3 linked regions of the Tamandua tetradactyla genome follow. The protein of the gene in region 1 interacts with the protein of each later gene in a pairwise test. Links are inferred from orthologs where the notes say so. Each region holds a gene or a part of one and is shown on either strand. Other genes may lie near its edges.

The links. The genes of interacting proteins can lie anywhere in the genome.
Region 2: the proteins of BANP (region 1) and FHL5 interact in binary tests that used the Homo sapiens proteins (3 or more experiments, as listed by UniProt). The two-hybrid records come from large-scale screens. The link is inferred for Tamandua tetradactyla from reciprocal best matches to the Homo sapiens genes BANP and FHL5.
Region 3: the proteins of BANP (region 1) and L3MBTL3 interact in binary tests that used the Homo sapiens proteins (3 or more experiments, as listed by UniProt). The two-hybrid records come from large-scale screens. The link is inferred for Tamandua tetradactyla from reciprocal best matches to the Homo sapiens genes BANP and L3MBTL3.

The regions. Positions count from the first base shown.
Region 1 is NC_135342.1:82,347,223-82,355,495, forward strand, and holds the start of BANP (protein BANP), read left to right. Parts: upstream 1-5,134; 5' UTR 5,135-5,248; intron 5,249-8,273. UniProt on the Homo sapiens protein: Controls V(D)J recombination during T-cell development by repressing T-cell receptor (TCR) beta enhancer function. Binds to scaffold/matrix attachment region beta (S/MARbeta), an ATC-rich DNA sequence located upstream of the TCR beta enhancer.
Region 2 is NC_135331.1:153,896,044-153,903,889, forward strand, and holds the start of FHL5 (four and a half LIM domains protein 5), read left to right. Parts: upstream 1-4,559; 5' UTR 4,560-4,703; intron 4,704-5,462; exon of another isoform or gene 5,463-5,723; intron 5,724-6,226; exon of another isoform or gene 6,227-6,294; intron 6,295-7,846. UniProt on the Homo sapiens protein: May be involved in the regulation of spermatogenesis. Stimulates CREM transcriptional activity in a phosphorylation-independent manner.
Region 3 is NC_135331.1:191,514,454-191,522,566, forward strand, and holds the start of L3MBTL3 (lethal(3)malignant brain tumor-like protein 3), read left to right. Parts: upstream 1-4,826; 5' UTR 4,827-4,921; exon of another isoform or gene 4,922-4,968; intron 4,969-5,829; exon of another isoform or gene 5,830-5,928; intron 5,929-6,661; exon of another isoform or gene 6,662-6,838; intron 6,839-8,113. UniProt on the Homo sapiens protein: Is a negative regulator of Notch target genes expression, required for RBPJ-mediated transcriptional repression. It recruits KDM1A to Notch-responsive elements and promotes KDM1A-mediated H3K4me demethylation.

The DNA of each region.
Region 1 (8,273 bases):
CCTCACGCGCCGCCATTCTTCCCCTCCCACGGCCACACTCATAAACTGCACAACCAGTGTGTGCTGATACAGCAAGGAAGTGGCCAATCATCTGTTCTCACTCCTTCCCAGGTGCAAGGGGCTTTTTGGCAGGAAACAGAAATGCAGATGGACGCCTACATTTCTAGTCATCTGTTGCTGCTTAACAAACTATCCCAAAACGCAGCGGCTGAAAATGACAAGATTCATTTCTTGAGCTCACACACCTGAACCGTGGGCAGGGCTCAGCGGGAAGAGCGCTTCTCCACTCTTCATGGCATCAACTGGGACGGCTTAGCTGGGGCTGGGGCATCCCCTTCCCGGATGGCACACCCAATGGTGGGCAGGCTGAGGCTGGCCGCTGGTTGCTCTCCACGCAGGCCTCTCCACAGGGCAGCTTGGGCAGCCACCCAGCATGGCGACTGGGTTTTGAGATCCAGTGTCCCGAGAGTCAGGAAGCGGAACCTGCCTATTTCTTAAGGCCCAGGCCGCTGTGCTCTATTGATCAAGGAGTCTCAGATGCCACATTCACGGGGATGGTCAGAGGCCCCCTTCTCTCGAAGGGAGGGGTGTTAAATTTGGGGCCATGTTTTAAAACTGCCACAGTTGCCTTAAGGTTACCTTGAGATTCTTGCCTCCAACCATATTGCTTGTGACTAATTGCCCCATCTTCAGATGACTAATTGCTTCAAGAAAACTGAACTTAAGATGCAAAACAGTGAAGATAAAGGTATGGGCAAGTGGCCTTCCTGGCTGGGTGTTCACCTGGGCTGTGGTTTGGAAGTTCCTGGGGGTCTCAGATGCAGCATTTCTGGGAGTGGGACTCAGGCAGTGGCATTTTAAAGACACTTCAGGTAATTTCAACATATAGTCCAAACTGAAGACTGCTGTTCTAGGTGATAAAGGATGGCAAAAACAGGACGTTCCAGACACAGAGAAACTATAAACAAGTGAGGAAGTCAGCACCTTTTGACTCCAAACGACCAAGGGTCTTGTTAAGAAGTCACATACGTGGTTCCTCAATAAGTTAAACACAGAGCTACCATAAGACCCAGTAATTCTAGGGAAGTACCCAGAGGACTGAAAATAGGTGTTTCAGCAGAAGTGTGTCCACTCATATTCACAGCAGCAGCGTTCTCAATAGCCCAAGGTGGAAACACTCAAATGCCCACCAACTGAGCAGTGGATATGCAACATGAGGTCCAGCCAGACGATGGGATGCTATTCAACCATGAGAAGGAACGAAGCGCAGACACATACACACTGCACCTTGCATGCTGAGAGAAAGAAGCCAGGCACCAAAGGTCACACATTGGTTGGTTCCATTTGTACGAGATGTGCAGTATGGCAGATTCATCGAGACGGAAAGCAGACGGGTATCCAGGGGCTAGGGGTGGGCGTGGGGTAGGGGGAGGTGACTGCTATTGGGGGCAGGGCTTTCTTTGCAGGGACGGAAATGTTCTAGAACAAAATCATGGTGACGGTTACACAAGATCATGAATGTACTCAATGCCACTGAACTGTACACCTTCAAAAGGTAAATATTATGTGCATTTTGTCACAACTAAAAAGAAAGAGGGGAAAAAGAAGTCAAGGAGAGTGGCAATCTGCAGACAGACTGGAGGTTATTACACGGTTTAGGCAAAGGCCCAGCCCTTGGAGCTTACGAAGTGGGCCATGGCACTGCTATGACTACTTCATTAGTAGATGCATCATCTACGTCTTTCATGTAGATACAGGTAACAACATTTCTGGGACTGAGTGTCCCCTTGTGCCAAGTGCTGCAGTAAAGGCTTTCTATGACGGGCTTCTAAACTCCGTCAGGCACCACGAGGCAGGTTTTATCATCCTACTGCACAGACAAAACAGAAAAGGTGTGTGTGTGTGTTGGGGGGGAGGTGGGCAGGGAATCACCAAGGGGCCCGTGACCGTGAGGGTCTGGTGTCAACTTGGCCAAATGCTGATGCCCAGTGGTCTGGTCAGGCACTCACTGGCCTGACCGTTGATGCAGAATACTCTGTGGCTGGTTGATGAACCAGAGGGCTGGTGGATTAAATCATCAGTCACTTGACTGCATCCATGGCTGATCACATCTGCAATCAACTAAGGCATGTGCCCCATAATGAGATAATCCAATCACCTGAAGGCTCTTTAGGGGAGAGACTCTTCCACTGCTTCTCCAGCCACGAGCCTTTCCGTGGAGTTCATCTAGACCCTTCATCAGAGACAACAGCCTTACATCCTGCCGATGGGTTTTGGACTCTTCCCTTCTCAGGGTTGCATGCGATGCCTTTATACATCTCATATTTGTAGATCTCTCCTGTGGGTTCTGTTTCCCTAGAGAGTGCTGACTGCCCCAGGTCCCGTGGAGTGGCCAACCACCAGGAGGGGATGTTCAGGGTCAGCAACACCGTGGCCAGGTGATGATGCCTGTGCCCAAGCCTGGCGACTGTCCTGGCACCATTCCCTGCTCCCTGCTCTGAACCAGACTCATCTTCAGGTCCCGATGACTCTGTCCCCTTCCCTATACGCGGACTCCACTGCGACATGGCCTCTGGCCTGGACCCAGCCTCCGCTGGCCTCTCCCCCAGCTCCTCGGGTGCCTTCTAATCCATTTTCCAGCCCTCGGGCCAGGGTGACCTTTCAAGATGCCAATCTGCCAGGCCTACTGTGGTCCAATGCCCTGCAGATGCCCCACTGTTTTGGGATAAGGATGGACCCCTCAGGGCTGGCTGGCCTCCACCTGCGTCCTGGGCCAGACCTTCGGCTCAACCCTTCACTGACCTGCGTCCTGCGAGGGACAGCTCCCTGCAGAGGTGCCCTCAGTGACCCCGTGTGAACTGAGATCCCTCCAGCCCCCATGTGCTAGACTCCAGGCCACTGTACAGGAAATTGGATTGGGTTCTCGCACTCATTGTCTGACAAGGGCAAGGGCCCCCCTGGTGACTAAGCGGAACTTTATTGGAAGGTAGCCGGCTTGGCCGATTACTACCTATCCAATTTTAAAAATCATGGCTCATCACCAGATATCAATATTTTAATAGCACCTGCCTCTATCTTAGTTTATGGGGCAGCAATATGAAAAATAAATGAACTAAAAAAATCTAAAGAGAAGCCAATGAGTTCAACATAACTGTAATTATAATTGTGATCACCTTAATTTCTGATACAGTGCTAATCTGCAATGATTTGGAAGTCTTTAGCTTTTAGTCTATTGGATGGTTCAGAATGTGTCAACCTTTATCATTCCTTCAGGCCTTCAGTCATTCCTGCCCGCCCAGCAGGGGCCTGGGGGCCGCAGGCGATGCCCACAGGAGGGGGTGCTACTGACAAGGGATCCACAAGGTTCCGACACAAGATGAAAAATATCACCTCCAGTTTATCCGCCTTCTAGTCTGACTTTCAGGATCCACGTGAAGAATTCTTGCCTATGTAAATGTGCGAGTTTTGGCAGTGTTTGGGGTGGAGGTGAGAGGAGGGGGTAAGTTTCCCCTCCACGCCCCCGGGAAATTTTCGGGGCTTACTTCTGCAGCCTCTCCTCCCCACCTGATCTGGCCCAAGACCGGGTTCCAGCTGAGGGGCTGTGAACTCCAAACTCGGCCTTTTCCTGTTTCCAGCTGCATGACCCTGCGCGGCCCGTCCGACTGCATGACCTGGCCCGTCCGGCTGCATGACCCTGCGCACGGCCCGTCCGGTTGCATGACCCTGTGCGCGGCCCGTCCGGCTGCATGACCCTGTGCGCGGCCCGTCCGGCTGCATGACCCTGTGCGCGGCCCGTCCGGCTGCATGACCCTGTGCGCGGCCCGTCCGGCTGCATGACCCTGCGCGGCCCGTCCAGTTGCATGACCCTGCGCGGCCCATCCTGCTGCATGACCCTATGCGCGGCCCGTCCGGCTGCATGACCCTGCGCGGCCCGTCTGGCTGCATGACCTGGCCCGTCCGGCTGCATGACCCTGCGCGCGGCCCGTCCGGTTGCATGACCCTGCGCGCGGCCCGTCCGGCTGCATGACCCTGCGCGGCCCGTCCAGCTGCATGACCTGGCCCGTCCGGCTGCATGACCCTGCGCGGCCCGTCCGGTTGCATGACCCTGCGCGGCCTGTCCCTCATCTGGAACAAGGGGCGATTTCGTGGTAGCCTGCAGGTCTTCCCACACCTTTTGCAGCGCGGGCCCTCCGTGGCTCTCTGAACCGTCTCAAGGCACGTGGCGGGAGGAGGCCGGGGCGCCGGGCGGGAGGCGCCTCGGGCTGGGCAAGGCCGCCCAGCTGCGCGGTTTGAGGCGGGGTCAGTGCGAAACGCCAGGTGAGTCGCTTTCTTCTGCCAACACGAAACTGCTCCGTCGCTTGTGTTTGCGAGATCGAAGTGATTCCTCCCACTGCGAACAGCGCGAAGCTCGGGGCCGGCACGGCCGGGAGGAGAAGCCGCGGCATCTCGGCGCGCAGCGGGAAGCGGGCACGTTTCCGCGGGTGTCCCGGTCCCGCGCGGTGATATGGCTCGGGGCTTTTTTCCTATGAGAACCCCAAAAGTCACACTTACGCCATACAAGATGAAATTTATATCCATATTAGTATGTCGTGCGTTTATATTGCATAAAACAGACATTATATATTACATATGAAACAAAGATTATATCTATGCGGGACGCACGGGGGGCCGCGAACGCAAGCCTCCTGAACTACAAGTCCCAGCAGCCCGTGCGGCGGGACGGGACGGGGCGGCCGGAGGACGGAAAGACTACAAGTACCGGCAGGCATGGGTCGGGCGGTGGGACTACGAGTCCCAGAATGCATTGCTAGGAGCTTGCGCAGGGCATCCTGGGATACGTAGTCACCCGCGATGTTAATCCTCGTCATCCATTTTCAAAGACCCTGCAAATCCCTCAAACGACCCACTGAGACAATCGTTCACGGACTAGCAAGGAGACCGAGTATATAGGGGGGAAATAAGAACCCAGGAGGCCACAGATCCCGTGAGGGAGTGTAGAACGCGTGCGCATGCGCACCGTCGTGTGAGCGGCGAAAAGGCGCACCGGCGGACGCGGAGCAGTAGGCCCCACCCGCGGGCTCCGCCCCCTGGCGGCGGCGCGCGCACTGAGTCTGCGCAGAGTGCGGAGGCCCGAGGGCCGCGGGGAGGGACGCGCGGCGCTTGCGCAGAACGGCGGCTTCTCTCGCGAGGACGGACGCCATTATCGCATCTCCCCGACAAACACCACGAGAATTCCGCAGCCCACACGGTAATTGCAGCTCCCGCAGCCGGTCGCGTCTCCGCCTCCCCCCCTTCCCGCGGGGCGAGAGCGAGAGCGAGATCTCCCCCTCCCTCCCGCCCTTCCGCCCTCCGCCCGTCCCTGGCCCCGGCCGCCCCGTCGCCCCCGCCGCGTCCCCCGTCGGCCCCGCCAACGGTCCCGCCCGGCGGCCTCGGCCCCCGGCGCCGCGGCCCGCACCGCCCCGGCCTGCCCTCGCCTCCCGCCTCGCGGCCCACCCGCCGGGCCCTCTTCCGCGTTCTGTGCCGGCGGGGGCCGCCCTCCGCCTGAGCTGGAAGGGGAGCTCGCGGTGCCCGGCGCCCAGAGATGGAAGGGCCTGCGGCGGGGAGCTGGGCGCGCCGCGTCGGCCGCGTATCGGTGGTTTTGCGGTTGCCTTTCCCCCCTTCCCCCGAGCGGCGTGGGGTACGTACGGACCCGGCCAGGGACGGCTGAGCGCGCCCGCTTGGCGCGGTGAGGTGTTGCCAGGCCCGGGCCGCCCCGCGCCTCGCGCTCCCCTGGTCCCCAGGTTCCCGTTAGCCGTGGAAGGGCGCCGGGGGTTCAGGCGGACCCGTTGGCCGTGGCTTTTCCCACCTGAGGGAGGCGGCGAGTGCCGGGACGTGCGGAGCCCTGGTTTGACTCGCAGGCCGAGGACGGGGCGCTCCGGGCTGCGGGCACACCGCCTGCCCTCCCTGGACTTCGGGGTCGCCCTGGGCGCATGCACGGCTCTGGCTGTAAAGTTAGGGCATGCTTGGGTTTTCACTTTTCTGGGTAATCGGGAAAATCTGGAACGCACAACACCCCCGCGTTCATCGTGTGCCATAAACGTCATGGGGTGTCGTAGACTTAATTTCTTTGGACTCTTTCTCTACTTTTTAAGTTACTAAAGTGAAATGGCACACTGGTAATCCAGAACACTTGTGATTCTGATGGTTGCAAAGGCAAATAAGGTGCAGTCTTAGAAGTAGGAAACGTCCGACTTGAGAGATGATCTAATCCAGTTGGTTGAGGATTTCGGGGTTTTTCCCCCTGTACTCTTCTTATTTCTGAAATGTAATTTTTTTGAAATGTGGCTTTAGTTTTTTCTCCCCTTCCCCACCCCAGGCTGCAAAAAGTAGATGCAAGTTCCATTTCCCATTATGTGAGCACAGTGGAGACACTGCCTTAATAGAGGAGTAATTTCCGAATGATGAGATGGTAGGGATTGGGTTGGCATTGGAGAAATGAATGCTGCCCGAAGAACTGTGACAACTGTGGCCTTTCAAGGATAGGGAGCTTGCCTTTAAGTTGTGGAGGGCCAAGTTCGAGTCTCCCGATGTGGGACAGGTAATTCCTCTCTCTTCTGCCCCAGGACTCAAGGCCTATTAGCTTTGATAAAACTGGCACTGTAATAAACTTGATGAGAGGAGACAGGAGTTAATTGTTCAAGAGACAGAAAAGAACCCAGAATAGAGCTAGTGAGGGGCACATTCAGTCAGAAAGTAGATGGCCCAGTGATTTAACATTCTGCTTTTAGGACAGTGTGTTGTGTGCCAGCTTATGATCTGGAGTGGTGAAAGGAAACACCAGAATTGCCTGTAGCGTTAATTCTACACATATACGTCCATTTTCTTATTGTCTTGCAGTGGGAAAGGGTTCTGATGCCCAGGGGTCCACTGAGACTGTTGGATTCTAGTATTGTTGGCTTTACTTTTTAAAGAAACAGCTGCCACTTGCGGATCATATACTGTGAGCTGGGCCTTTCAGATGTGTTCCAACCGATTTTAGTCCCAGGACCAAACACGCCAGGCAGAAGATTACCCATGAGATTTAATTAAGGACTTAAAAACAGGAGACAATTCTTCCCAGTGGCAGCTACTTCCCAGTTGGGAAATGGAAGAAGTGCTCCACACAAAACAAGAGGATGCCAAGGGGCAGCTTATAAAGTTCGGCAGAGTCCTGGAAGAGCCGCTTAGAGCAGGGCTTGGGCAGACTCCGAGAGTTGGTTACCGACCATGACAGGGGGCGGCAACCTTCAGTGTCCGCTCTGGTCATGCTGGAGCTGCAGCATGTGCTTGAGGCTCCATTCATTCTTTCTTTCCCTAACCCCTGGTAGGAGCTGTCCCCATTTCACCAATGAGGAGACTGACACCCATGCCGGCTGAGTGCCGTGCCCGAGTCACATAGCCAGTGTTTGAACCCACCCTGCCAGAAGTGTTTTAAAGGAAATAACACACACCCACAGTGAGCATTTTTTTTTTTCATTTGAGTAAGGTACACAAGAAAAGTAGCAGCCCTTGTCCCAGTTCTTGGTACCCTTCCTCAAAGACGTGAAACTTTTATTTGTTTCTTCAGATAGTTCTCCATAGCTCAAGGTAATAACTTTTGTCCATTTTACCAACTTAACTTCTGCTGTGATGGGCCGGTTTATCTCCCCATACTATATCCCCTCTCTTCTCTCTCCTCATGTTCAGTTAATGCAGTTATCTATAGCATGACTGATGAAAATATTGTTTGCTTCACAGCTGCATGATGCATTTGCCTTCATGTACAGCTTTCGTTTTTTTCTTTTTTCTGTAAGGTCCTTTCTTTCTCTTCTTAAATAATGTTTTAAATTCTCAAGGAGAGTATCAAATCTCCAACCTGGAGTCCTCTGTCCTCTTTGTCTAATTACTCTTGACGCCCTCACAGGTATCATCGTGGATTTTTTCTTTTACACACTTTTGGGTTTGTTGAGGATAACTTGTCTTAAACTTGGCTTCTTAGTTTTAATGAAAAACCTGCCAAGAAGACTTCTATTCCTTTTGGGTGACTTTCTCCCTCCCGACAAGATTTTAGCATCTTCTCTTTGATGTTAGACATTTAACAGTGTGCCAAGGGATGAGGGTTTGTGCTCTGAATGCTCTCTGCATCTGCGTCTTTAAGCTCTGGGAAATTTTTTTGTATCATTTAAATGAGAATTGCTCCTCCTTTTTAGGGATTTGTTTTAGTTTAATGACGTATGTTTTGGATTACTCTGTGGAGCCTGTCATCTTTACCCTCT
Region 2 (7,846 bases), on another chromosome or scaffold:
TAATTTTTATAAAGGGTTTGAGATATGGATCTTCTTTCATTCTTTTGAATAGGAATACCCAGTTCTCCAAACCCCATTTATTGAAGAGGCTGTTCCATCCAAATTGGGTTGGCTTGACTGCCTTATCAAAGATCAATAGTCTGTAGATGAGAGGGTCTATTTCTAAACTCAATTTTATTCCACTGGTCAGTATATCTATATTTTTGCCAGTACCATGTTGTTTGACCACTGTAGCTTTGTAATATGGTTTAAAGTCAGGTACTTTGAACCTCCCACTGCATTTTTCTTTCTCAAGATATTTTTAGCTATTTGGGGCACCGTGCCCTTCCAAATAAATTTGCTTATTTTTTTTTCAATTTCTGCAAAGTACGTTGTTGTAATTTTAACTGGTACCCATTGAATCTATAAATCAATTTGGGTAGAATTGATACCTTAACTATATTTAGTCTTCCAATCCACAAACACAGATGGCCCTTCCATTTATTTAGGTCTTCCATGAGTTCTTTCAGCAATTTCTTATACTTTTTTGTGTATGGGTCTTTTGTATCCTTAAGTTAAATTTATTCCTAAATATTTTATTCTTTTAGTTATTATGGTAAATGGAATTTTTTTCTTGAGTTCCTCCTCGGATTGCTCATCACTAGTGTATAGAAACACTATGATTTGAGGACACTGATCTTGAACCCTGACACTTTGCTGTACTCATTTATTAGCTCAAGTAGCTTTGCTGTAGATTTTTCTAGGATTTTCGACATACAGTATTATGTCATCTGCAAACAGAGTTTCACTTCTTCCTTTCCCATTTGGATGCCTTTTATTTCTTTTTCTTGTATAATTGCTCTGGCTAGAACTTCCAGCAGAATGTCGAATAACAATGGTGACAGGAGAGAAGCTGGTGGGCTTTTAAAATGCCTGTGCTGCCTATGCAAAAAAACAAAGCCTCTGTCTTAGGGCTGCAGGGAATGGCTTTTCAAAGAGTGCCATTTGCTGGTCAGGCCATGATAGCACAGCCTTAGGTAACCAATAAAAAAGCTTTATGGTGTCTCTCCTGACCTCCCCAGGTCCCTTTGGAACTGCTCTGCACCCGCTTTGTTGTTCTGTGTCCCTATTTTGGCTGAGAAATGCTGTGAATGAAGTGTCAAGGGAGAGCCTTAACACAAAGCCAATCAATAACAAAACAAGAGAAAGAAATTGGCCTTCACAGTAAACTCATCAAGGTAACTAGGTGTGTAGAATCCACAAAAAATCACAAGCCATGCTAAGCCATATTAAGAAACAGGGAGATATTTCCCAGTCAAAGGAACAAATAAAAAATTCAAAGGATATAAAGAATTTGGAAAAACTAATCAAAGATGTTCAACAAGTCTCTTAATTCAGTTCTAGATGAAGGAAAATAGGGCTAAAGAGACAAATGATATTAAGAAGACACTGGCTGAACATAAAGAAGAATTTGAAAGTATGAAAAGAAGCATTTATGGGAAAGAAAGGCACAATAGAAGGGATTAGAAATAATCCAGAAGCATACAATAGCAGATTTGAACAGGCAAAGGAAAGATAAAACAGAAAAAGAAAGGCTGTTGAATTTTGTCCATTGCCTTTTCTGCATCAATCAAGATGATCATAAGTTTTTTCACTTTAACTTACTGATATGGTGTATTACATTAATTGATTTTCTTGTGTTGAACCAGCCTTGCATACCTGGAATATATCCCATTTGGTCATGGTGTATAATTCTTTTAACGTGCTGTTGGATTCGATTTGCAAATATTTTGTTGAGGATTTCTGCATCTATATTCATTAAAGAAATTGCTCTGCAATTTTCTTTTCTTGTTGTATCTTTGTCTGGCTTTAGTATTAGGGTGATGTTAGCTTCATAGAATGAGTTAGGTAGGCTTCCCTCCTCTTAAATTTTTTTGAAGAATTTGAGCATGATTGGTACTAATTCTTTTTTGAATGCTTGGTAGAATTCACATATGAAACCATCTGGTCCTGTACTTTTCTTTTTGGGCAGCTTCTGATGACTGATTCAATTTCTTTATTTGTGATTGGTTTGTTGAGTTTGTCTATTTCTTCTCGTGTCAATGTTGGTTGTTCATACCTTTCTAAGAAGTCGTCCATTTCACCTACATTATCTAGTTTACGGGCATAGAGTTGCTCATAGTATCCGCTCATTACCTGCTTTATTTCTGTGGGGGGCCAGTAGTTATGTCCCATCTCCCATTTCTGGTTTTATTTATTTACATTCTTTCTCTTTCTCTTTTTTCTTTTCTTTTCTTTTGTCAACTTAGCTAAGGGTCTTTCAAGTTTATTGATTTTTTCAAAGAACCAACTTCTGGTTTTGTTGATTTTCCTGATTGTTTTCATATTCTCAATTTCATTTATTTCTTCTCTAACCTTCATTATCTCTTTCCTTTCATTTGTTTTGGTGTTAGTTTGCTGTTCTTTCTCTAGTTCTTCCAAGTAAATAGTTATTCCTCAATATTTGCTTTCTTCTTTTTTAACACAGGCATTTAAGACAATACATTTCCTTCTCAGCACTGCCTTTGTTGCATCCCATTAATTTTTATATGTTGTGTTTTCATTTTCATTTGCCTCAAAATATTTACTGACTTCTCTTTGTATTTCCTTCTTTGACCCACTGGTTGTTTAATAGTGCATTCTTTAGCGACCATATGTTTCTGGCCCTCAGCCTGTTATTGATTTCCAACTTCATTCCATTATGATCTGAGAAAGTGTCTCATATAATTTCAATCTTTTTAAATTTCTTGAGATTTGCTTTGTAACCCAGTATATGGTCCACCTTTAAGAATGATCCATAAGCACTTGAGACAAATGTGTATCCTGCTGTTGTGGGGAGTAATGTCTGTAAATGCCTGTTAAGTCTACTTCATTTACTATTTTATTCAAAATCTCTGCTTGCTAAGTTGTCCTCTGTCTAGATGTTATATCCAAAGATCAGAAATTTCAGGTAAGATTAAAGACAGTGCTCCATTGATGAGAGCAGGCAATCGAAGTCTCCAATTATTATGGTAGATGTGTCTATTTCTCCCTCAGTGTTGTCAGTGTTTGCCTCATGTATTTTGGAGCACTATGGCTCAGTGTATAAATAATTATGATTGCTATGTCTCCTTGTTGAATTATTCCATTTATTAATACATAGTGTCCTTCTTTGTCTCTTTTAATAGTTTTACATTTGAAGTCTAATTTGTTGGATATTAGTATAGCTATCCCCTGCTCCTTTCTGGTTTTTCTTTTTTTTTTTTGCATGAAATATATTTCCCCAGTCTTTCACTTTTCACATTCATTCTTAATAAACTTTATATCTGCTTTGTCTGTGCTGCATCGTGCCCTTGGATTCTTTCTTGCGGCATGGCCATGGCCCGGGAAACCAAATATGGTCACACTTACGTACTAAGCTAAAGAGTTTAATCATTGTCCTGAAAACAAGGGGGGGTCCTTTAAAAGATATAAATTAAGCAGAAAAATAAGGAGATCAAAATTGTCTTTTAGAAAGTTCATGTCTGTTCTGGAGAGCAATTTGACAACTTATCAAAATTCTTTAAAATTTAATTTTATTTGTGAAATTATAGTATGCCTCCCCTTTCTAAGAAGTGAAATATGTACTTAAACTATGCATACATTTTTTTCTTTTTTTCCACTAGCATCTAGTAGAAATGGAACACAATCTTTTTTTCGTTTTGAAATACTTTGTTTAGTCAGGTGCTCAGATACCAAAGAAAAACCCTTTATGTATGCAGTTTAGCTAGACACTCTAAGACAAAAGTTCCAAATAAAAATCTCATTAGTGCTCTCTTGGAAAGTCAAATTTTTTTCTGATGCTTCTTGCTATTCAATGTTAAGAAGTAAAAACCTTTATCAAATTGTTTTCTTTCTGAGCTTGTCTGTACTCCTCTAAAAATTTAACCTTTATCCTTACTCTACTGTATAGACCTCAAGGTTGAATAACTGCTTGAAGGCATGACGCATGTTCAGTAGAGAATATGTGGTTGTTTAATTAGTACCTAATAAATGTAAATGAACTTAAAGTGAAAGCTCTAGATTATTTTCCTTCCTTCTTTCTCACTTAAAGCTAAGTTCTTGTGATTCATGCATTATAAATGCTCAGCGAAAATTTTTGGTGTTGAAGAAAGCAATTATACAAGAGAAAAAGACAAACAGCACTTCTCTATTATATATTTCATTATATTGCAGGCATTATTCATCGCTATTTTGAAAATAATATTTAGATGGGAAATCACTTGGCATATTAAGTGAACGAAGGAGAATACAGAGAAGAGGAGTAGATGCTGACTTGGGTTTGGGTGGGTGATTGTGCCATGCCTGAATAGGAAACATAGATTTCAAGGGGGAAGAAGATGAAGAGGTTTATTCAGGCTTGATGATTTTGAGATTCTAAGTAGACCCAGCAGACAACAGGAGGATCTGTCCGTTGGAGGTGGTTTCAGCTGGGAACACAAACTTGTGAGTCATAGTATATAATTGTGAATTGTTTTGAAAAGGAAACCCATGGAGAATGTGCAGAGAAGCATACTGAACAAAGGTTACAACTCTAGCTGTGGTGAACAAGGGTGGAGAGACTGAGATGCTGAGAGCAAGGAGGAAATCAAGAGGGTGTGACCTAGTGAAACCAAGGGATGAAAATTTCAAAATGAAATAAATATGGCCAAGATCAGAAATTTCAGGTAAGATTAAAGGCAGTGCTCTTTGGATCGCTGATTAAGATCTCTTCTGATCTTAATGAAGTTTTTTGGGGGGTTGGAATGGTTCAAATAGAAAGCAGATTGCAGGAGGTCAAGGAGGGAGAACGAGGTTTGAAAGCTGAAACAGTGAATGAGAGCTACCCTCTCAGGACACATAGGTGTAAACAAAAAGGGTGTAGACCCATAACTAGATGGTGATATAAGTAAGTTTGTATCTCTGACACTTTGCTTCCTCAGCCTGCCTGTCTAGCAGTGGTGTCATGACAATTAAAATCTATTACTAATTGAATGTACTTGTGTCGTTTCACTGAATCAGAATCTGTTGCTGCTAATCACTATGTTTTCCTTTTCATAATGTCTTAATCATCAAAGTCAAGTGAATAATAAAATATAGGGTTGATTGGCTCTGCAATTCCCCAGCTCAGGTTCTTTGATTGTATACCTGAGTTTGACCTTCAAAAATATTAACATATAATTCCTTTAGCATTTAGAACAAGGACAGTTTAGATTTGGTCTGGGAATTAATGGAGTTAAAGCAAAATATTTCTTCCCTCACTTCACCTTCCAAACTGAAGAAATGGCCTCAAATAAAGATTCTGTGAGCAAGAGCAAAGGCCCCTTACTTGTTTTCTGGTTCATTGTGACCCACTAATATTATTGTTCTAGGTTAGTTCAACATCCAAGCAATTCTTCAAACCCAACTCTTAAAAAATCTCTAGCCATTTTCTATGTTTTGAACTGAAGATTTTCAAATGACCAGATGAGTCTGTGCTTATTAAGTCATACTGCCACGGACATGACATAACAATCGTTGCCACCTCAAAGGGAAGTGTGCAGAAGCCCGGAATGCTAAATCCATACTGCAGGTCCAGCAAGCAGGTAACTACCGTGAGTTATTCTACTCAAATCCACACAAGGTTCAAAGCTCCCAGATTCCCCAAGAAGGCAGTGATAGAGGCCATAACCCCGGGCTCATCTCTCAAGATACTGAGAACTCTGAAGGTGAGAACATGGGGCCTCATCTCTTCCCAGATGGCGCAACAGAAAAGCTCTGTGTTTCAGCCACTAACCTAAATAGAAGGATTCTAAGAGCCACCAGAAAATACACAAAACAAAACAAAACCCAGATGGATCAAGAAAACAGAAAATACACTGTCCTTTCAGTGATTATTTTTATAAACATGCCCTAAATGTAGCTTGATCAGTAGAATTTCATGTGTGCGTGTACCAGCACACTGTGTGTTTTAAGCTTTTTGGAGCTTATCCAGATATTTAAAATACTAATCCTGGCAGAATATCCCTGTAAGGATATAATGCAGAGAATTTGCTACTTGCAATTTTAAGTAAAATTGGAAAAGGAATGCTTTTCTAGCCTAGTAGGAGTCAGCTATTTGCACGTCACAGGACTTGGGCCCTCCTATTTTCTCCTATAAAGTTGCCTCTGGGAGGAACCCTCATTTAGCACCAGCAGCTCATTCTGTTCCTTGTTCTTTATGTGTTGGAAGAAAAAAAATTACCGTATATTCGCCTTCTTTCATACTGTTCAAGTCACAGGAAGAAGCTTTAAGAAAAAGTGAGTTATTTTTTCCTAAAGGTTCCTTTGTATTTTGTTTATGTGGTATTTTGACTTCTATATATATATTTTTTAAGTGCAAGTGATTTTGGTAAACTTTCCAATGACTAAGAGAAAACTTTTACTTGACAAGTAAATATAAATCTTGAAGTTTCTATCTTTGAAACTTTTTAAAAGTCATTTAAGCTAAGTATTATTGAATTTTGAAATGCTGAGCTTTTAGATTTCTCATTTTGATGACTTGCATATGGAAACTTATAGTCTCCAGTTAATTCTCTGGAGTTGCATTCTTATTTCCTGAAATGGTCAAATACATGGGGGGTATAGTTTCGTTGTCTTAAAAAAGTGTGTGGGGGCAGAATCTGGGACTTATTTGAATGCATAGCATTATCATGGAGGGTATTTTATGGCTGGATATATATTTCCAGAGCAAATTTTGAAGTCATTTATAGATTTTAAGTAAAACGAGTTAATTATATTCCTGCTATGTTCAATAAAAAATCTGCCTACTTCCCAGGAGCAGGAATAAAAACAAGTCATAATCTTAGGGTTCCTAAGATTGAATTGAAATGTCTGTGGGTCTAGCCCACACAGATATACAATGTGCTGCATCATTCTAAAGTCTTATATCTTGAACCTGTGATACTTTTATTTAAGCAAAAGCATGCATTCCATATGTGTTTATGCTTTCTCCCTCACTGTTTTAGTCATACCCTCTTTGATGTCTGACATCCATTTGAAAACTTAATGCAGCGCCTCTGCTGTCAATATGTGCTTCAGAAATGTGGGAACAAAAAAGAATCATTAATAAAATGTATCATTCTCATATATAAAATGTTAGAATCCTCAAGTCATCTTAGCCATGTCGCATCCACAGATACTGTCGTATATAAATTCCAGCATTTTATTAGCAAAGGATAAGGATTTAAAGTTTAACACTAATATTGCCGACATGCATATCAGACAAGATATTTCATAAGACATTTGTTAAGATACGTGCCTGAAGCTATAATTCAAATTGCTTGATAGGGAAGGTAACTCTGATGTCTGTTTTTCATGCACGTTCCATTCTTCCCCACATTTTATCATTAATTGCCAATTCTGGGAGACTCCCACCCAAACAGGAGTAACAGATTTAGATTTTAACGTAACATCACCTGACAGTATACCTCTTATTTTTGTTACATTTGTTACATTTGCCAACTACATTTTAGTAAAGCTGGATTAATTTAGATTCTTTAAGCAAGCCCAGTAACTTTCTACTATAATACTGAAAATAAATGTTTATCTAGGACATTTTAGAGAAAGTTGGATTGTTTGATTGTTTTTATGCTTCCAATGTAGAGAACATGATCTCTTTAGAAACGAAAAGCAAATACTTTGTTTTCACGTGGGAAGTTTTGAGTCAGATGTCAAACAAGCTTGCATTTTCATATTCTTGTAATTGCCTTTTTCCTCTCTGATTGCCATCCCATTTCCTAGTCATATTTTGATACGACAGAAGGGACTTTGAAGAGGCAGAAGAGGACTCCTTCCTCCTAGAACATCTCAA
Region 3 (8,113 bases), on another chromosome or scaffold:
TGCAGAGCGTCACCTCGTGACCACAGAGCGGCCAGGCCTCTCTGAGACCAGAATGGCATTTGGGATGAGAAGGTCACACAGAGTCCAGGGCAGGGACCTGTGGAATGCTGCTCATCTGCTGCTCCTCCCGTGAGCTGACTTTGGCTGTTCTTGACCTCATGGTTTCTACTTGGGCATCACGTCTAACGCCCCACGGCCGCGGTGGGGCGCCCAGTCTCTCCCCTTTTCTCTCCGTGAATCTTTCAGTTTTTGCAAAGCTTGCCAGCTAACTTTTTCTATCACAGGCCCAGTTCATATGGCCAAGTATGAGAAGACTGGCCTGTTTCATTACATTCTCACCCACAGAGAAGCTGCCCACAGGCCAGGCCTGCCACTCGGCTCAGTCCATAGACCAAATATCCACTCCTGGGCCAGTCAGCTGCGGCCAGGAGAGCGGGTCAACTGGAAGGCACCTCCCAGAGCAGGGGGCTCTGACGGAGGGGAGCTACTGGCACAGACAAGTTCTGAAGTTTGGCTTTTGCCCTCTCTCACTGTTTTTTTTTTTTTTTTTTTTTTCCAGCATGGGCAGGTTCCGGGAATCGAACCCGGGTCTCCGGCACGGCAGGCGAAATTCTACCACTGAACCACCGTTGCCCACCCTTCTCTTACTTTTTAATTAAAATGCTTCTGAATTTAGGTTTAAATGAGTAGGTGTGTTATGAGAAATTAACATAAATTACCTTTTGCTTTTTAATTTAGAAGTCAGTTTACAATCCCAGATTCTCCTCTCTTCCAGATATGTCTATATTTGATACCTTCTTTATACCTAAATTAAATGATAATAATCACATCTATCCCAGAGTTCTTCATATATTTAATTTCCTTAAGATATTTTCAGTATGATACACACTAGGAGTCTTTCCTTTACCTGATAAGTAATATATCCTTTTCTTTCACTCTCAGCATTTCAATGACATTTTGCTACCACAAGCTCTGTGCTAAGAATGTTTGCAGATGTGTCCCAGGAAAGACAATCAGGATTCAAATTAGAGTACCTACAAGCACATTTCACTGTTATCTAGAACTAACAGGAAAATCAAACTCGGCTCTGACAAATATCAATAATAAAAATCTTGGCCAAATCAATGGTAATGTCATTTTGATACTTGGAAAAACATGGAACACACAATTATGTAGGTTTAAAAAATCAATAACTTGACTCCTACTTAAAAAGTAAGATAATACATTAAAATGATGATTTAAAGGATCGTTCATTTAGAAAAATCTCTATGGATAGATTCAATTTTACCTTAAGACTTGTGCCCACTAGCACACATTGCAATCCAGGGGCCTGAGGTTAGAGAAGGAGTTTGTGGCTATAAAACAGATCAAAACTAAGTAGCCATTAGGGAATGGAGTTTCGTCCTTCCATCTCATTAGCACCCAGCTTTACGGAGTGAATGAGCTCTTCAGTGATAGCATTCTGACACCCAGCAGATGGGTGGTTCTCACTCCTTCCTTAAAATTCCTTTCCTCCATATCATTTATACTAAAATGTGAAGGTGCTCCCTGCAGGCCTTCCTAGAGGAGTACGTGCCAGAGGGCAAGTGTGAGCAGTGTGCCTATCAGGGCAGGGCGAATTTAGTGTTAGAAAAAGGAAGCGTAGGTATCCAAACTGAAGTTCACAGACGGTGGAGGTGACAAGATGGAGAGAGGTTAGTGTGGCCTGTGCCTGGCAGTGCTGATGGAGAGCCCCATAATGTCTCTATAGAGTGCAGTGACACGTTCAAACATCTCCCGTGTATAGTGACTTCAGGTTCAGAATATTTAGGAGTGGAATAACTCGAAATTATTTTGGGGGGAAGTCTGGGCATAACAAATAAATATAAAGAAAAACAGAGCAGTGAGCTAAAACTTAATTTGGGCTGCCAGGGAGGTTATAGACCACCTGCCCTCGGCCTGGAGGATGGGTTAGCTGGGCGACGGGCGAAGGGGGGAGGGTGGTGGAGGATGGTGACAGTAAGTGGTGCTGGTGAGAAGGGATTCATCATGAATTACTAGGCCTTGACTGAATGGTGGAAGCGTGTAGGGAAGGCAAAGAAGCTTCTACCAGTATGTTACCATTTAGGGAAGAGGTAGAGAAATATCCTGTAAACAGGATCTGTTAATATGAAGAATAAAACAATGTCATCTAGATTCCAAGACAGTATTCTGCCTGTCTCAGATGGCAGCATTGAAGGATTGTCTGTGGACAAAAAAAAAAAAAAAAAAAAATGGTAGCAGTCTTTAAAGCTATCCTTTCAGGGAGAACCTCCAAAATCTTTATCACCCTGAACCACAACACCCTGGGAACAACTGAGATGAAATTTTTTGAGGTGTTTCTCATGATTTCTGGAGGGAGAAAGAAAATGCGTTGTGGAGACCCTCCACTCAGGCTTATTTTTGTTAGTGAGCCTCAGCAGATGAGCAGTTCCCAGGCAGGCTCTGCTCTGCACGGGCCCATGTGCTCAGGCTCCCTCTGATTCGATCACCCTCCCACCTACCTTCTTGGGGGAAGGCTGAGCCCATAAGCCACTGACCTCTGTCCTTCCAGGATTAGCTTAGCCATCACTTCTGCAAAGCCTCCCCGCAAGACCATAAATGCTCCTGGCTTGTGCTGGCTTTACACCCCATACTTCTAGCATTTACCATGCCATCATGCAATGTCATATTAACTAGATGTCTCTCTCTCATCAGGCCAAGTTCCTCGTGGCCAGGGCAGTGTTTCGATCGTGTTTATTCCCAGCAGCTTGCAGACTCCTCAGAGCACATGGTAGAAGGCCAGTTTGTGTTTGCAGAATGTTGACCTGATACCTCTGAAAATACACCTACAATAGACATATCATCTAGAAATTATACTGAGGGAACGAATCTAAAACGATTTTTTTGGAAAGAGGACTTTCAAATTACTTTTAGTCTATTTGGGGTAGGGTCTTGGGTTTGCACATAGCTCCTGGCCTTGCTTTCCTTCTCCTTGTGTGGCCTGTTTTCGGTCATGACACTGCTCATGATGCCAGAGCCAGGGAGAAAAGCGGACAAGCCGAAACTCCCATCAGTTCCGTAGGCTGCGCCTGAAAGGTACGATGTGGTGGGTGAAATCGATAGCTAGCCCTGGATTGGGCTTATCCACAGTTCTGGCTGACCAAGCCTTCTGCACTTCACACCCCTCTTTCAGCTTCCCAGGGCTTGTCCTTTGTCCCCAAGGAGAGGCCGAGCCATATATCCAGATTTTTGGCTCTAAGAATTCAGCCACCATACCAAAAAAGAAAGAGTTGGGTGGTCTGCTTCTCTAGGGTAATTTCATGGTGCTAAGGAAAGACTTGAACAATTTATTTTCTGAAACTGGTTCAAGAAACATTCCTTAAGTGAAAAATTCAATCAAGAATAATATTTCTTACACTTTGGAGAAGGATTTTTAATACAGAATTCCATCTGTGATATATTTAAATTCTAGGCCTCAGGCAGCAATTTCAGAAAAGGGCCTCCTTCACCCTGGGTTAGATGCAAAATAAATATCCGGGGGGGGGGGCTCCCCCATTTCTGAAATCGCACAGGCTATTCTTTTTTCTCGCACAGCAAAGTGTGTTATTGACACGAAAATGTTCACCACAACTTCGATTACGTGAGTCTTTGTGTAAGGACTTGTGTCTCGGAAGACGGCCTTGCTAGAGCCGGCCTGTGTGAGGAGAGGAAAGCTGTCCGTGCGACCCGTACTCTCTGCCTGGGTTTTGATGTGTTAACAAAGACAGGCTTCGGTATTTGGGGTGTCTGAACACACCAGGACGAAAGTCCTCCACTTGCTTATTGCTGAGGGCCCTTCGCGTTGATTTCGGAGCCGATCCGCGAGTCTCCCCATCTCCCACGGTGGAGGCCTGGCTAGTTTACAATGTCCGTGAAGACAGTCAATGCTGAAGGAGGACGAGGAGCACGCAAGGTGAAACCCCGCACTTGGCCGCGCAGCCTTCGAGGCCCCAGTGAGGGGGGTGGCGGAGGGGCTCATACTCTGCCAGGGCTGAAAACTTTCTTTCCTATTTTCCTTGGCCTGTGCGCGCACGTGGCCTCGGGCGAGTGTCTGTGGGGACGAGGGCCCACTCTTTAACGGCTGAATGCACACATCCAGCAGCACATGGTGGATGAGCTGCTCTGCGAACTGCCTTAAAAAATGTAAAGTGAAAAACAGACAAAGAGAGCTGTCACCTTCGCCGCCCTTCGCGTTTGTTTTGCCCGCCCTGGCCACGGCTCGGAGCCGGGCCCAGGCCGGGAGAAGGTGCACCTGAGGCGGCGCGTGCGTGCGGGCCGGGCCGGGGTGGCGGCTGCTCTCCAGCGCAGGGCGCAGGCAGGCAGGGCGCAGGAAGGGCGCCAGTAGGCAGGGCGCAGGAAGGGCGCGAGTAGGCAGGGCGCAGGCAGGACGCGGGCAGGCAGGCAGGGTGCAGGCAGGCAGGGCGCAGGCAGGGTGCAGGCAGGCAGGGCGCAGGCAGGGCGCAGGCAGGGCGCAGTCAGGCGCAGGCAGGCGCAGGCAGGGCGCAGGCAGGCGGGGAGCAGGCAGGTCGCAGGCAGGGCGCAGGCAGGCAGGGCGCAGGCAAGGCGCAGGTAGGCAGGGCGCAGGCAGGCGGGGTGCAGGCAGGGCGCAGGCAGGCAGGGTGCAGACAGGCAGGGCGCAGGCAGGCAGGGCGCCGGCAGGGCGCAGGCAGGCAGGGCGCAGGCAGGCAGGGCGCAGGCAGCAGCCGGGAAGCGGCCCGGCCCGCCGCGGCGGCGGCGGCGGCGGCGGCGGCGGCGGCGGCGGCAGCGCAGTTTCCCTCTCCCCAGCCAGGCTCCACGCGCACATGCGCACTGCGCCCGCAGCCCTGGACCATTTGTCAGGACTACTCGTGAGACCGAGAAAAAAAAAAGAGAAAATTTGGGGGTAAGAAGCGGCTGATCTGATCGAATCGCTCGTTAATCTGCAGATCTGTACGTGCCAAAGGCATTCATTTATTTTTCTGGGTGAGGATGAAAGTTCCGAGCGCTGCCGAGGGAAGGAAGCGCACCCTGCCCTTGTGAAACAGACCCGGGAGGGGAAAGGACAGAAGGGGTTTCTCCCCCACTTCTCTCCGCCTCTGGGAAAGAGGAGAAAACTTAATCCCGGGGAAAAAAGTGGGCAAGTGACTCGGAAGGGGCTGGAGGGGGAGTCCCCGGGCATCTCCCCGTGAAGTAGTGAGCGCGAGTGTGAAAGAGGAACAAAAGAGCGAGAAAAGAGAAAGGAAAAATGGGGGGGAGGAGAGACTTGTCTTTTTTTCGGTGCGCGCACCCGGGGAAGGGTGTGGGGGGCCGTGCGGAAGGGAGCCGGGCGAGGCGGCCGCGGCGCGCTCTGCGGGAGGGCCCCCTCCCCGCGCGCCCCCTCCCCCGAGCCTGTCACTGGGGTCCCTCTCCTGACGCCGGGCGCGGGCGGGGGCGCGTGCCGGGTGGGTGCCGCGGGGCCGCCGCCGGGGCGGCCGAGGCGGGCGGGGGCGGCCGGGCCGCGGCTCGGGGCGGCGGGAGGCGGCCGGCCCCGCGCCCGCCCCTGCGGCCCCCTCCGCCCGTGTGTGGCCTTTGTGCCGGGCGCGCACCGGGGAGCGGCGGGGCGAGCGCGAGAAGTCCAAGTACGGGAGACCGAGGCAGTGGGAAAAGAGGCCGGGCCACTTTCTCCGCACTCGGGCTGCGGAGAACGGACTGGTTGAATGTGCAGGCGCGCCTGCCGGCGTGTGCTGGGTGTGCGCGGCGCCGAGGCCTGCCCGGCTCCCACCGCGCACACGCACACTCACACGCACGCACACTCACACTCGCGCGCGCACACACACACACACATACACCCGGACCCCGCGGCGCGGCGCGGCCCGGCGGACCCGAGTTTGCGTTGCCTTCCTCGCCGCCTCCCCCTGCCCGACCGACTGTGTGAGAATTTAATAGAGAGCAGCTCCAATTTCCGCCATTTTGGGAAAGTTGCACAAAAATAAACCCTCCGGTTTATTTCTGCCGGGGCCGGGAAAGTGCCCGGGGAGGCGAGGCGGCGCGGGCCCGCGGCGGCCGTGCGCGCGGGGAGGCGCCGGAGGGCGCGGGCCGGGCCGGAGCCGGTGCCGTCGCGGCGTTCGCCCCGCGCCGTGTCGCGCCGCGCCGCCGGGGGCTGCGGGCGTGTGCCGGGAGGCGGCGGCGGCGGCGGCGGCCGGGAAGGGGGGCCGCGGGGGGCGGGAACGCGGGGCCGCGGGTCCTGCAACTTGTTTACGCCCGCCCGAGCGCCGGGAGGCGGCCGGGGGTCCGCGCGGGGGCCGTGCCGCGGCCATGGGCTTTGCACACTCGCGTCCTGGGCCCGGCGGCCGGGCGGGCGGGGGAAGTAGAGGCCGGCGGGGTGTGTGGGGGGGGACCGGGAAGCGCAGGAGCCCAGGCATCCGCCGCGCGCCCCGCGAGCTGGGGGAGGGGACCGGGGAGGGGGGAGAGGGAGGAAAACTTGAGAGCCCCCGAGACGTGGGGGGGCGGGGGTGGCGGCGCGGTGACACGGGCGGGGGGCAGGGTGCAACTTTTGTGCTGGTGGTAAAACTTTAATTACCTTTAAAGAAAAAAGGCCCAATGATCTGGGTTTTCGGGTCCCCCCCCCCCCACCTTCCCTCCTTCTGGTCAAAGCTCGGCCCACAGCGCGACCGTGAGAGAAAGTTGAAAAGCGGGCGCTTTCCTTCCCGCCCGCCCGCGGAGGGGTAGGGGTGTCTGGCTGTCTGTCCGTCCGCTCTCGGGGGGAAGTGGGGGTTGCGAGCCGCCCCACGGGGTCGCGAGGACGGTGGCACTTACCCCACCCTTCCACGGGGAGACGAAGGTAAACGTCGCTTTGGTTTCCCTTCACAGTCCCCCCCCCCCCCCGCTTCCTTTTCCTCCCCTCCCCTCCGAGTTTTCGAGGGGACCCGAAAAACGGAGTCTCTCTCCTTATGCAACTTCCTCGGGCGCCGCGACCGCGGCCTCGCCTGGCGCTGCATCCCCGGGCCGCGCCTTCCCACCCAGGCCGGCGCCCGGGAACGCCGCCGAAGGTCGCTGCGAGCGCGCAGAAACAAAAATAGACGAATTGTTCGAAGTTGAGGGAAACTGAGATAAGTGGAAATGGGGGGTGGGGGGCGGGGGGGGGAGGGGGAGCGCGGCTGCGGCGGGCGCGTCGGTCTGTAATTTTGCGTTCCTCTGAGCGCTGGGATGCCTTTGTGGGTCCGGGAAGCCCGGGACCGAGGCTCGGCACTGGGCAGCCGCGTCGCGTGGGTTTTTGCGCAAGTTTTTAGAAAAACACTGACTCGAGTAGAGCATTTCCCCGGAAAGTTTCAAGTGCAGCAAAATCGCGAACGTGCAAAGCTGGCCAAGGGGGGACCTCTAGTGGCTGACCGCGGGCGGAGACTCGCAGGCCCAGGGCAGAGTTTGGCCTTTTCTCGCTCGTCGGTTCCGACGTGGAAGTGGCCAGCCGGCCTCGGGGCGAGCGGCCGTGCGCGGTGTGGGAGGATGCTGGTGGGAGAGGAAGGCTGGCGAAATCCGAGAGCAGGGGGCCCTGAGGGTTCAACCCCTCTGACTCCCCCATCCCCCTCCCAGGGAGAAAGACATTTTGCTTCCATTCTGGGCTTTGGAATTGGTATTGTGTGCTTTTCTGTTTCAAGTCCTCTGTGTCTCTGATTCGTTTTTCATCACGAGTCATAGCAGATATTGCATTTGGAGTGTTAATAAAAGTACGGGGTACAGTGTGGGTTTAAGGACAAAGTCCTTTGGCTGAAGTTTTCCTTTCCTTTGAGCTGATCAGTGTATTTTCTAATAAATATAATTTTAGTGTGGAGTTTCTTGACTGTTTAGTTAGTTATAATACATGTGAATGCTTAGAGAGTTATAGCGTATACGGTCCCTTTTAGTTGTGAGAGTATTACTTTGTTTCATTAAGAAGGTATTTTTGGAATACTTTGTATAATTTGTGAAACTTAAATATATAGCAAAAATTGCTTACATAATATCTGTTGTTTTGCTCGTGTGTCTTGTAAAGTATCTTTAAAACTAAAGCAATATGGGACATTAAAGCTGAATCCAGTGATTCCTGAACTTTTCACCTGTTTGTCAGGTCATGGGAGAG